3 linked regions of the Lonchura striata genome follow. The main gene of each other region encodes a partner of the protein of the gene in region 3 in a complex. Links are inferred from orthologs where the notes say so. Each region holds a gene or a part of one and is shown on either strand. Other genes may lie near its edges.

Region 1 (3,746 bases), on a different chromosome or scaffold from region 3:
AAAAAAGAAACTCAAGTTCATAGGCAGTGTGAGAAGACAGCACCAGGTGAATGCTCCCATGGCTCCTTGCTCTTACAGTGGGCAAGTGACAGGAGCTGCTTTGCCATCCCAGACCTGCACTGCCCATGGCCTGTACTTATGGCAAACTGAGACGGGCCAGAGCTGCACTGCCTCTCATCAACAGAGATGTGGTGTGCAGGGGAACGGCTTGCTTTGTGTTGTGGAGAGTTCCCATCTTTCAGATATGCTGGGATGAGCTCACTGGTTGTAAAAACAGGGATAATGAAGAAGATAAACACATTGCCTAGGAGCAATTTGCAGCAGGACAAAGATGTGTAGCAATACTGCTCTTCTGTGGCCTGCTTGAGAGCACACAAAGTACAGCAATGGAGAACCTAAATGATCCCCACTCACCAGTCTGGTGTAGCACATTCACAGAAGAGGGATCCAGGTGTCAACCACAGATGAACTTCAGCTCCTTCACAACTCTATAGATCTTTATTTTAAGCCAAATTCTGCTATAAAGGCACATGTTTCTTTTAACAACATTTTCCTACTTAAAATGTATTTTCATCTACACCATTACATTAAGGCAACTTATACTAAAAGGGTTAGTAGAATTTGCCCTTTTAAAATATACTGAGCAGACAAAATCACCGTTTGCAGTTTGCTCAAGTCCAAAAGCAGATTTCAGCAGTAGAAGCATCTTGTACAGGTACAAAGCCATTACTTTTTCTATTCTGTCTCAAGATAGCATGTTCCAAATCCCTAAAGCTGACCTAAAGGTTAGCATCTTGGTTCTTCCTCTATTAAAGGCAAAGCAACAACAGGCACAAGGACAGCTACTTGTTCTAAAGCCCTAGAGGGCTCAGTTACCAAAGTAATCCCTTCAGTCCACACATGACACAACCCCTTGAAATAGAAAATACAGTGGACTTCTTTTTATGTATTTTAGTGCCTTTACATTAATTGAAACCTTAATATTAGAATATTCTACAGTTCCATTGTTAACCTTCAGTCGAATGGCAAGAGTAAGATACCACCACTAAAGTGCACAGGTAACTGGAACAAGATAGGAATTTGTAAAACACACAGAAATATTAAATAATTGCATATGCTCATCTACCAGGTTAGCAACTAAAGTGCCAGACTACAAGCAGTGGCTATACATAATTACTGTCAACTCATTTTAATGTGCAACTGTAAAGAAACAATATTTATTTAAAATATTTGTTTATATTTATTCAACACCTTTTTGCCCATCTGTTCAGTGAACAACTTCACGCATATTGACTATTGAAATCAATGTTTTAAATTATTATAGAAATTTTTTAAGTTATTTATATAATTTACAAACTTTCACTAGCTATATAGAAAGAAATAGTTTAATAAATTAACATGGAACCAAACATGCTTAATTTGGAGAAATAATATTAAGCCATTGTATGAATTATTTATCTTTACCCCACAAAGTTTATTTTGCTATGGAACAGCTGGTTCCAGCTGATTTTCTGCACCAACAGGTGCTGAAAATCAATTCCAGTAAAGGTAATTTTCTCTTGAATACAGGGGGGACAAGTAATAACAAAGGGGAAGAACATTTCTAAATTAAGTCACAAATACTTCTCCTCTCCACCCAGGTCCCAGGTGCTTGTCATACAGCACACCACCACTATTTCCCATGACGTGGCAAACCGCAACCAGTGAGCATGTTTGTGTGGCCTTCTAAATTCACATATGCCACACATCCTGCATATCTCCCCAAAAAAGAGTATTCCTTTCTGACATTTTAAATGACAACAAGTTAATAATTTGCTTAGTGATCCTTCTTATCTTCCAGTTATGCAACCTGGGTGTGAGGCTAAGGGACACAATTTAACAATAGACCCATCATCCGCATGAGGTATGTTTGTAAACAAAGCATGTCACTGACATTTATAAGGTACAAGTCATCATAAGATTCAGTTTCTCCCCACCTCACATGCTGGTAACAGGACGGTATGATTAAAAAATAAAGCTACTATTCATCACAATATCATGAAGCGGATAATGCCTATTTCTCAACACCCGGCCAGGCGAAAGCAGGGGCGGGACAGCAGCCCTCACACAAAGCCTCCCAGGCCTCAGGAGCTGCGGGAGAGGCTTTGCCTCGGCAGGGTCAGCCGGGCCTCCGGCTGTGCAGGCCGCTCCCCGGGTGAAGCCCTGGCACAGCCGGTCAGAGACCGCTGCTCCGGCACAGCCACGCGGGGAGACACGGCCTGCTCGCTGCTTCCGAGGAACCAAAACCTTCCCTTCCAGCGCTGTTTTCTCCACATCTCTCGAGGCGTCTCTCTCACTTCAAGGATTCAAAAGAAAGCCCAGGACTTATAGGCATGAATTGTAACATGTCAAACCAAACATGTGAACAAACACAGACACGCAAGTACACGGAGCCTGTACAGCAACACTTCTGCAAAACAAACTGACGCCACAGGGGCCAAGTTACCCTTGGCGAGCCGTGCCCTCACACGCACCCATTCGGAGAGCAGGCGATGCCCGGGGGAACGGGGCACGGCCACCTGACTAAGCGTTCAGGGGTACGTGTCCACGAACCACCAACGCGCGTGGGCACACAGACACGTCCAGACCCGGCGGTCAGGGTGCTTCGAACCGAATTACAGCTCGGAGGGAGGTTTCAACGCCATCGCACCGCGAAGGAGAACCGAACCCGGCCGGCCTCCGCCCCGGCGCAGGAGCCCACCGCCACCGCCGCGGCCCCGGCCCTCCTCCCCGCCGCGGCCCCGGCCCCGGCGGCAGCCGCGGCGGCAGCCCCGGCCCGTAAAGGCGCGGCCGCCGCCTACCCGGGCTCTTGAGGTTGTACCGGGCCTCCATGGCAGCGCGCACCGCTCGCTCTCTCCGCGGCTCCGGCGGCGGGGGCAGGGGGCGGAGGAGGAAGGCCGGCCCCGGCCCGGCCCGGCCCGGCCCGGGACACTCCCCTGACGTGGCAGCGGCGGCGACAGCCCCGCCGTGACCGCGGGGGGAGGCGCCTGCCGCGCCGGCGCCGCCCGGACAGCGGCGGAGGGGCCGCGCTGCGGCGGCGGCCGGGCCGCGGGGGCTGCGCGAGGGAAGAGCGCCCGCAGAGGGGATGGGGCGAGGTGCCCGCGGCCTCGGTGGGTCTGAAAACTGGGGCTTGGAAAAGGGGCTCCCAGGAACCCACAGACCCGAGACACTCCACGCCCAACAGACTTCGCTGTAAGAGTTGGTAGCACCTTGGTTGTTGGTTTTCAGGATCTCGAAAGACTGAAATGGCGTCATATGTCAATGGTTATTATTTTAGGCAAGAATTATCAGCAAGAGCTTGACTTGATTGCCACCTTTGCCATACCACAGTGACAGAGAGATACTTACATCTACAACTGTATCTCTTCCACCTTGTTATAGGTGTAATACAATTGGGATGGAACTTCTAAAAGAACATATGGCTAAGAGAAAATCTCAATAGTCACCATTTCCTTTTGTTTCAGTACAAACTGAAATAAAAAACAACCTCTCTTTTCTTCAGCATAAATTTGAAGCTCATATCTAGCTCATATTGTACTTAACCTATGAAACTAATTGTTTTTAATTTCATATTTTATATTCTTCATAATCCTCCTTTACAAATTAATTTTTTTGTTTTGGTGTCTTAGTTCTCTTTTCCCCACTTTGATTGAACAGCAGTGGCAAACAGTTGTAAATAAAAACATTTGAGTAGGTACATATTTTTC
Region 2 (3,746 bases), on a different chromosome or scaffold from region 3:
CAGACATATCATCTTAATCTCAAAGGTGTACATAAAATTGTATTTACCCATTACTGGCTTCTGCTGAAGAGTGGACACCTGAAGAGCTCCTCAACCTTCCACCATTTGAGGAAGACACATTGGATTCCTGCCTGGCTTCTGATGATAACGTGGGCTGATCAGCTTTAACCTACAGACAGCAGGGCAGCCAGTGAGGTTTACTCAGGACAGCACACACACTTTATGCAAAAAGTCTGCACCCCACAAAGTATGCCCTTGTTTTAACACCTATTCCTGCACAGCACCTCTCAGTGCCACACCACAAGCACCTCCATCAGTATTTTAAACCTCCTGGAACCAAATGACTGGGAGGCAAAACTGATTTGATGCTACTCTTCCCTTTCACAATAGCCACACTGAATTTATTACTTCTTATGCACACATTCAGTGTCCATATGGCTATAAAGATATAAAACACAAAAGACACTTTGGCTTTTTCCAATGGCAAATTTGTACTTGCACAAACTGCTGCACACAGTTCAACAGCTGTGCTGTGGTGATATATGTGACACCCAGCCAAAGCTGGCTCACATCTAGCATGGGTAGGGTTAGCTCAGAGTGCCTTTGATGGGCAACAGGAACACACACCTCTAGAAACATTTGCCTAGGCCCTTTAAAGAAAGGATGGATTTTGACCATTTTTACTTGAGACCAGTCCACACTGAGCTCAAGCACCAAGGCTGAGCCTGTAGAGAGGAAGCCAAAGATGAGTCATTAATGAGAGCAGTTAAAGTGTCTGCAGTTCTCAGCCTTCTTCCCTCTCCACACAGATCAGAACCACTTCCCTCCACAAGCTCAGTCTGTCCAAGCATGCCTGGGACATAGCAAGTCAATCTATTTAATAAAACTGAATCTGCCAGAAAGCATTTCTCCCCTGAGCAGCACATCACAACTAGATCTTTCTCAACAGATACCATAAGAATCTTTACTGATTAACTGTAGAGGCAATTTTTTTACTCAGCGTAATCCAAATACATTCTCACACTCCCAAACATAACATGCTGCTGTTGCACTAAAAGGGAAAACCTGCAGTAAAAGGGAACTTAAAATGGTCATCCAAGACTTCTCGTTTTCAGTTCCAAGCCCAAGATTCAGAGTTAACTTAAGTTTAATTACCTCTGATTTGGTTCCTTGCATATTTCCAGGAGTCTTGAGGTTGTATACCAAGTGAAAAGCATGCACCTCCCCATGCTGAAATTTAAGGGAAGATCTGTTAAAAAAAAATCCATTCTGTGGATATATTTCAGCACATCATAAAAGAGACTTTTTTTATACCTTTGGCAACAATTCTCCCAGACAGTGGTGATCAAGCAGCAGCTTCCCAGAATAAATCAGCTTTTGGTCCTCTTCAGGCTTTGAAGAAAACAAGGAATAGGATTACTTGCTCTGCCAAGCATTAACACAGCTTACAGCTGGTGGAGCTTGCAGCATCCCACATATTAAACTGCACATCTAAATTCAGCTGAAGTTATGAGAACAACTGAATGCCGAGTGGGATAATATCAAGGTGCAAACCTGTATAAGAATCCAAAGTCCCTTGGGCAAAGAATTTAATTAGGTGCTGTATCTTTTACAGAACCAACAAAACCATTTGTATTTCTTAAAAACAGAAGTTCGGAGTTCTACCTAACCTGATCAGCACCAGAGGTGGTGGTGTCAAGTAAATCTATTACACCTCACCCAATGGGACCCAGCAGCTCTTCACTGGGATCTGTCCCACAGCAGCTGGAGAAGCACCTGGAGCCTGTTTCTGGCTAATCACCACACTCCCAGGGAAAGCATGGCAAAGGCATGGGAATCGGGCAATCTTCCAAGCAACTAGTGACAGAACAAGCCTTAAGTTTGGAGGGCAGTCTCCAGTTGGAGAAATGTTACGAAAAATTTCTTCACGGAAGGAATGGCTAAGCACTGAAATGGAGGCAGCATCCCTGGCACTCTTGAAAAAACGAGTACAACCACGGCATGTCAGTGTGGCTTAGCAGGCATAGTTGCATTGGGTCGAAGGTTGAACTTGGAGGTCTTTCCCACGTTTATTGGCGCTGTGAAGGCCACAGAGCCTCCCGCGGGAGCGGCGGGACACGGAGCGCAGCGATTGCAGCAGCTCACGCGTCCATCGCGTGTGCTCGGGGGAAGGCAACACTTCTGCATTCCAGCCCCACGCAGCGCCGCGCCTCCCGCTCGCAGCGGGACCGGGACCGCAAAGCCCCGCCAGGCCCCGGCCGGGCGCGGTGCCCGGGGGCAGCGGGCTCCGGCCCGCACAGCTGCGGGACGCGCCGGCCGGGCGGGCAATGATTAACCACAGCCGGGCCACGAACAGCCCCAGAACAGCCCAAGCGCGCCTCAAGCGCGGCTGACGCAACCGGGACAGCCCGGGGAGCAGGCACGGCCCCGGGGCAGCCCCCGGGGAGCAGGCACGGCCCCGGGGCAGCCCCCGGGGAGCAGGCACGGCCCCGGGGCAGCCCCCAGGGAGCAGGCGCCGGCCCCAGGGCAATCCCACGGCAGCCGCCGCCCTACCCTGCAGGGAGCCAGGCAGCCCCCACCGCCCACCCACCCAGGCAGCGCCCATGGAGCCCCCGGAAGAGTGGACTGCGCACTCACCGGCGCGTCGGGCAGGAGGCGGCGCAGCTCGGTCTTGAGGCGGCGCACGGTCCAGGCGGGCTGGGCGCTGAGGCGGAGGTCGCGGTGTCGCTGCGCGGGGCTCCGCACCAGCAGCGCCAGCGGCTCCTCCATGGCGGGCGCGGGGCGGGTGGAGGTTGCAAAACCTCCCCCGTCAGAGCTTTATAGGGGCCCGCCCCGCCGCAGGGCCGCGGTGGCTGCGGCTGATTGGCGGCGATGAGGAAAGGGGCGGGGCTGCCACGTGGGCCAATGGGACGGAGCCTCGCGTGCACGCCGTGAGGAAACGGAGGCGCTGATTGGGTGGTGCCGGTGGGGGGCGGAGCTATGCGGTCACCACGGTGACCGTGGACCCGCCCCGCCCGTCCCTGAGGGGCCGTGGCCGCGCCGGTGCCGCCGCGCTCCGTCGTTCCCTCCTCACCTCCCTCCACCGCATCACCTCCGGCACCAACACCGCTCTCAGCGACCCTTGCTTCGCCTTCCCTCTCCCCTCGCCCCCTGGAGCAGCACAGCTCTGTGGAGCTCTGCACGTGCTGCATGCACAGCCTGATTCAAGTGAAACATCCCCTTTTTCCCTATGGTTATTTTACCCGATCTGTGTGAGCTACCTCAGCCGGTTTGCTGTGGGCTTTGTGTGGGTACAGGACTTTGTGGGTGGAACCAAAAGAAGTGTGCAGAGATGCTGGGGAAAATTAATAATTCATTACATTTTTACTAACAAAAAAAAAAAAAAAAAAAAAAAAGCCGTAAAAATGTGGACCAGCAGCTTCTGGATGCTCCTCCTCTTGCCCATCTTCCTGTGAGATGCGCTGCAGCACGTTAAAAGCCCGTGGTAATGATCCTGGTGCGCCAGGAGGGGGTTTTCGCGTCCTTCCGAACGAAGCTGTAGGAAGGTGAGACGTCGGGTTTATCTCGGCACCAGGCATTTACTCTGCGTGTTTCAGGAGCTGCTCATAGTGTTCCTTGGCAGCCAGACCTGTTGCCCAAAGGCACGGATGAGTCTGCAGCCAAGACTGGATTTTGCAACTAGGAAAGCCGCTCTGCCATCGCCCCGCGGCTGCCCGGGGCAGAGCCGAGCCCAAGGGCAGCGCTGC
Region 3 (3,746 bases):
GTAAGTATTCAAATTATGGTTAACTCCATCACATTAAGAAACCTTGGCAACCCTTAGACTCTGGCAGATTTACATTGCAGTGATTCAAGCTGTTCATCATACCAAAAATCCACTCTTTTGCCAAGGGTTACTATTTATTCAGCAAGGCCAGCCAAATGCAACATCCATCTAGTTCAATGTCTAGGATATTGCATCCACATAGTGCTTAAGAGGGGTTTGCACCAGTCAGCCACAGGGCAACTGGGGCCTGGATGCACCCTTTGCCCTACTGTTCCCAGCAGATGAGCAGTATCTCCTGCACTAAGGCAGGGAGGGACCAGGCAAGAAGTATCTTAGATCATGGTGTCTGTCCACGAAGAGCCTGCCACTGCCCAGAGTGCTGTTAAATTTTACTGCTCTGACACACACCTGCAGGCAGACTGAAGTGGCAAAGGCAGTTAACAATCCCACTTTTTGACATCCCAGTTTGAAATTTGCAACATTAGCATAAGCTGTCACTTATTTCAGTTTATGTAAGCACACGGGCTGTAAACTGCAGTGGCACAGGGACAGATACACGACCTGCCCTGCCTCGCCTTGCTGCTGTGTGGGCAGTAATCTACAGCAGAGAAGGAGCCATAATCCCTTTAGCTGTTCCAGATATATCCATCTGTAGCCAAAGCATCAGCACCACAGTCTTTGTTTATAACTGTATTGTATTACTGCATCACATACCTAGTCACCCAAGAAGGCCAAGCGTGTTGCAATAGTATGCAATATTCAGAATAACCATGTTCAGCATCATGAAATGTTATTCATGCCCTAAATAACCTTTAACATATGGAATTAGCTCCTGATAAACCAGCAAAATTCCAAGAATCATTTCAGCCTAGCCTTTGTCCAACCCTCCCTTTAATGACTGGTAATATCTGTTCATAACCAAACTATAATAGAATCAGGGCATAATTACAGAAAATACTATTTTGTCTCCTAACCATGTTTAAAAAACATCTACCTAAACTCATAAGAAAGAGGCAAGCTCAGAGGCTAGGCTCCCTTCCCTTGAAAATAAGGAAAAAGGAACAAAAAACATCTTCCACACACATATGGCCACTAGGCTTATAAATAATGTCACAGATCGTCAGTGTCGTACTTTGTCCTGCAGACAGAAACGAGCTCTGGCTTTTTTCCAAAGTCCGTCAGCAGTCCTCTCCTCCACAATTTTCTACCATTGCTCACAGTGGTACGAACATTCAAGGAATGTGACCTAGGCACTCCTCGACTTGTGAGGAGTTGTTGCTGCTCCAGGTTTTACCTCTCATGTGATCAGAGTGAGTTTGCTTTATTCCTGAAAAATATAAACAGAAGGCCTGCTGTGCACTGCCTTCAATGTTTACAGCTGTAACAGACGTTTGTTTATCTCGGGTCCCACTGCCTAAGTTTGTTCAATGTCAGCATGTTTTCACTTCTCTGCTTCGATTAGACAAAATTATTTCATTTGAGTACCAACAGCTCACTGAAACAGGCAAAGTTAGTTTAGATTTCATAACACAGACGGGCTGCTCATAAAGCTAGATGCACTACAAGCCTGTAACCAGAAGAATAATTTCCACTAGAAAAAAAAAATAAACTCCTTCCTAAGCACAAAAACATCTTTACAAGCACTGAAGCTGTAAGCTGCATATGCCAGTCAATCTCCCCAAACCTGCTTATGCATCAGGTTCTGGATTTACACCTCGGTATTAGGGCTGTCACCCTGTGTCACAAGGCACAGCCACATGCCCGGGGCCGCAGCCAACGGAAGCGCAGCCACTCCCAACGTCGCACACCCCCGGCTTCCCTCTCCAGAACCCGCTTCCCGGAGCCGCGGCTCTCATCAGGCTCCTGCTCCTCCCCAGGCCCAGCCCCGGCCCCACTCACCCGCCGGCCGCCCCGCGTCCCGGGAGGCGCCGCTGCCGCCGCTGCCGGCGGCGCTGCCGGCGGCCGCCCTGGGCAGGGGCGACACCGCGCCCGCCGCTCCCGGCCAGGCTGGGGCGGCAGCGCCGGGGCCGCGGGGTCCCGTCCCGGCGGAGGCCGCGTGTGCTGGCGGCGGAGCGAAGAGGTAGAAGGGGCTGTAATAGGCAGAGGCGGCGGGCGGGGGCGGCTGCGCGGCGGCGGCGGCGAGGAAGGCGGGCGTGCAGCCCTGCCAGCACAGGTACCCGCAGTACGAGTCCCACAGCCACTGGTGTACGCGCCGCGCGTACTCCGCCGCGCTCAGTGGCTTCGTCCCGCCCCCCTCCGGAGGGGAGCACGGCGGTGGCGAGGACGCGGCGTTGGCGGTGGCTGCCTCCTCTCCGGCGGCGCTGCCTCCCTCCGCCATCGCCGCCGCCCCAGCGCCAGCCCGGCCGCGCTCCGCCGCCTCCTCCATCGCGGCGGTCACTGAGCCTTCACCGCGCGTGCGTCGGGACGCGCCTCGCCTCTCCCACTTATCGCGGCTGAGTGGGGGGGAAGAGCCTGACGAGGCGAGCCCCGCGCCCGGGGAGAAACAGCACAACCCACAGCTTCCCCCCCGCCCCCGCCACGAGATGGTAGCGCCGAACGCTGAGGCAGCGGCCGCTGCCCCGGCGCGCGGACGGGGCGGTTGCCGGAGCGCCTCACGGTGCGCGTTCTGCGGTTTTATTTTCTTGTATTGGTCTCGTGGGTTTTTTTCTTCCTCTATCTCCCCCTTTTCATCTTTTCCCCTATCACATATCGTGTTCGTCCTCTGAAAAAAAGGAAAAAAACCTACCCAAAACAAAAACAAGCACTCACAAACAAAACCAAAACAGACAAACCCCCCACAATCCACAGAGTAATTTTGGTTGGAAAAGACCTCTGTCATCGAGTCCAGCCTGTGACTGAACATCGCCGTGTCAACTAGACCAGGGCACTGAGTGCCACCCCCAGGCACGGTGACCCCACCACCTCCCTGGGCGGCTCATTCCAATGTCTAATCACCTTTTCTGCGAATAAATTCTTCCTAATGTCCAGCCTGAAACTCTCCGGAGCAGAGGCCGACCCCCACCTGGCTACAGCCTCCTTCAGGGAGTTATGGAGAGCGGTAAGGTCACCCTTGAGCCTCCTCCACGCTAAACACCCTCAGCTCCCTCAGCCGCTCCTCAGAGCACTTGATCCCCTCAAATGCTGAATAAAGAGCCAGCAGCAAGGTTAAACACAGTTCTTCTAACTAACTTCCAGTCTTTAAGGTTTCTGTGTTCTGTTAAGCATCTCAACCAGACCAAGAGTTCTGTCTGAACAGAGGTGTTAACACAGGTCAATACTGAATTAACAAGTAATACATATTGTGAACCTGGAATGTTTCCCGTGTTGAAGACAACGCCACAGCTGAACAAAACCAGAAGTTTCTCCCTCTCCCTGGTGAACTATTTTCCCACTTAACCTCACCTAATTTTAAAAAATGAAGTAATTTCATAAAATCATAGACTCATAGAATGGCCTGGTTTGGAATGAACCTTAAAGATCCCTGCCCCATGGGCAGGGACAGCTTCCACTAGGCTATGTGGCTCCAAACCCCATCCAACCTGGCCTTGAACATTTCCAGGGGTGGGGCATCCACAGCTTCTGTGGCAGACTGTTCCACTGCCTCACCACCCTCACAGTAAAGATTTTTTCCTGTGTATCTAACAGAAATTTCCACTCTTTCTGTCCCAGAAGTTTGTGTGGAGTGAGTCTCTAATACAAGCAAGCTGAGATGAATTGCCTAAGTGATGATCAAATAGTGACCCGTA

The links.
Region 1: FAM8A1 (region 3) and UBE2J1 share a complex: the UniProt entries of both Homo sapiens proteins name them as parts of the HRD1 complex. The link is inferred for Lonchura striata from reciprocal best matches to the Homo sapiens genes FAM8A1 and UBE2J1.
Region 2: FAM8A1 (region 3) and HERPUD1 share a complex: the UniProt entries of both Homo sapiens proteins name them as parts of the HRD1 complex. The link is inferred for Lonchura striata from reciprocal best matches to the Homo sapiens genes FAM8A1 and HERPUD1.

What each region holds. Positions count from the first base shown.
Region 1 is NC_134605.1:78,095,131-78,098,876, reverse strand, and holds the start of UBE2J1 (ubiquitin-conjugating enzyme E2 J1), read right to left. Parts: upstream 2,978-3,746; 5' UTR 2,872-2,977; coding exon 2,841-2,871; intron 1-2,840. UniProt on the Homo sapiens protein: Catalyzes the covalent attachment of ubiquitin to other proteins. Functions in the selective degradation of misfolded membrane proteins from the endoplasmic reticulum (ERAD) and is essential for cells to recover from ER stress.
Region 2 is NC_134615.1:17,256,704-17,260,449, forward strand, and holds the start of HERPUD1 (homocysteine-responsive endoplasmic reticulum-resident ubiquitin-like domain member 1 protein), read right to left. Parts: upstream 2,804-3,746; 5' UTR 2,770-2,803; coding exon 2,638-2,769; intron 1,393-2,637; coding exon 1,315-1,392; intron 1,231-1,314; coding exon 1,156-1,230; intron 170-1,155; coding exon 48-169; intron 1-47. UniProt on the Homo sapiens protein: Component of the endoplasmic reticulum quality control (ERQC) system also called ER-associated degradation (ERAD) involved in ubiquitin-dependent degradation of misfolded endoplasmic reticulum proteins.
Region 3 is NC_134603.1:90,558,547-90,562,292, reverse strand, and holds the start of FAM8A1 (protein FAM8A1), read right to left. Parts: upstream 2,398-3,746; 5' UTR 2,387-2,397; coding exon 1,900-2,386; intron 1-1,899. UniProt on the Homo sapiens protein: Plays a role in the assembly of the HRD1 complex, a complex involved in the ubiquitin-proteasome-dependent process of ER-associated degradation (ERAD).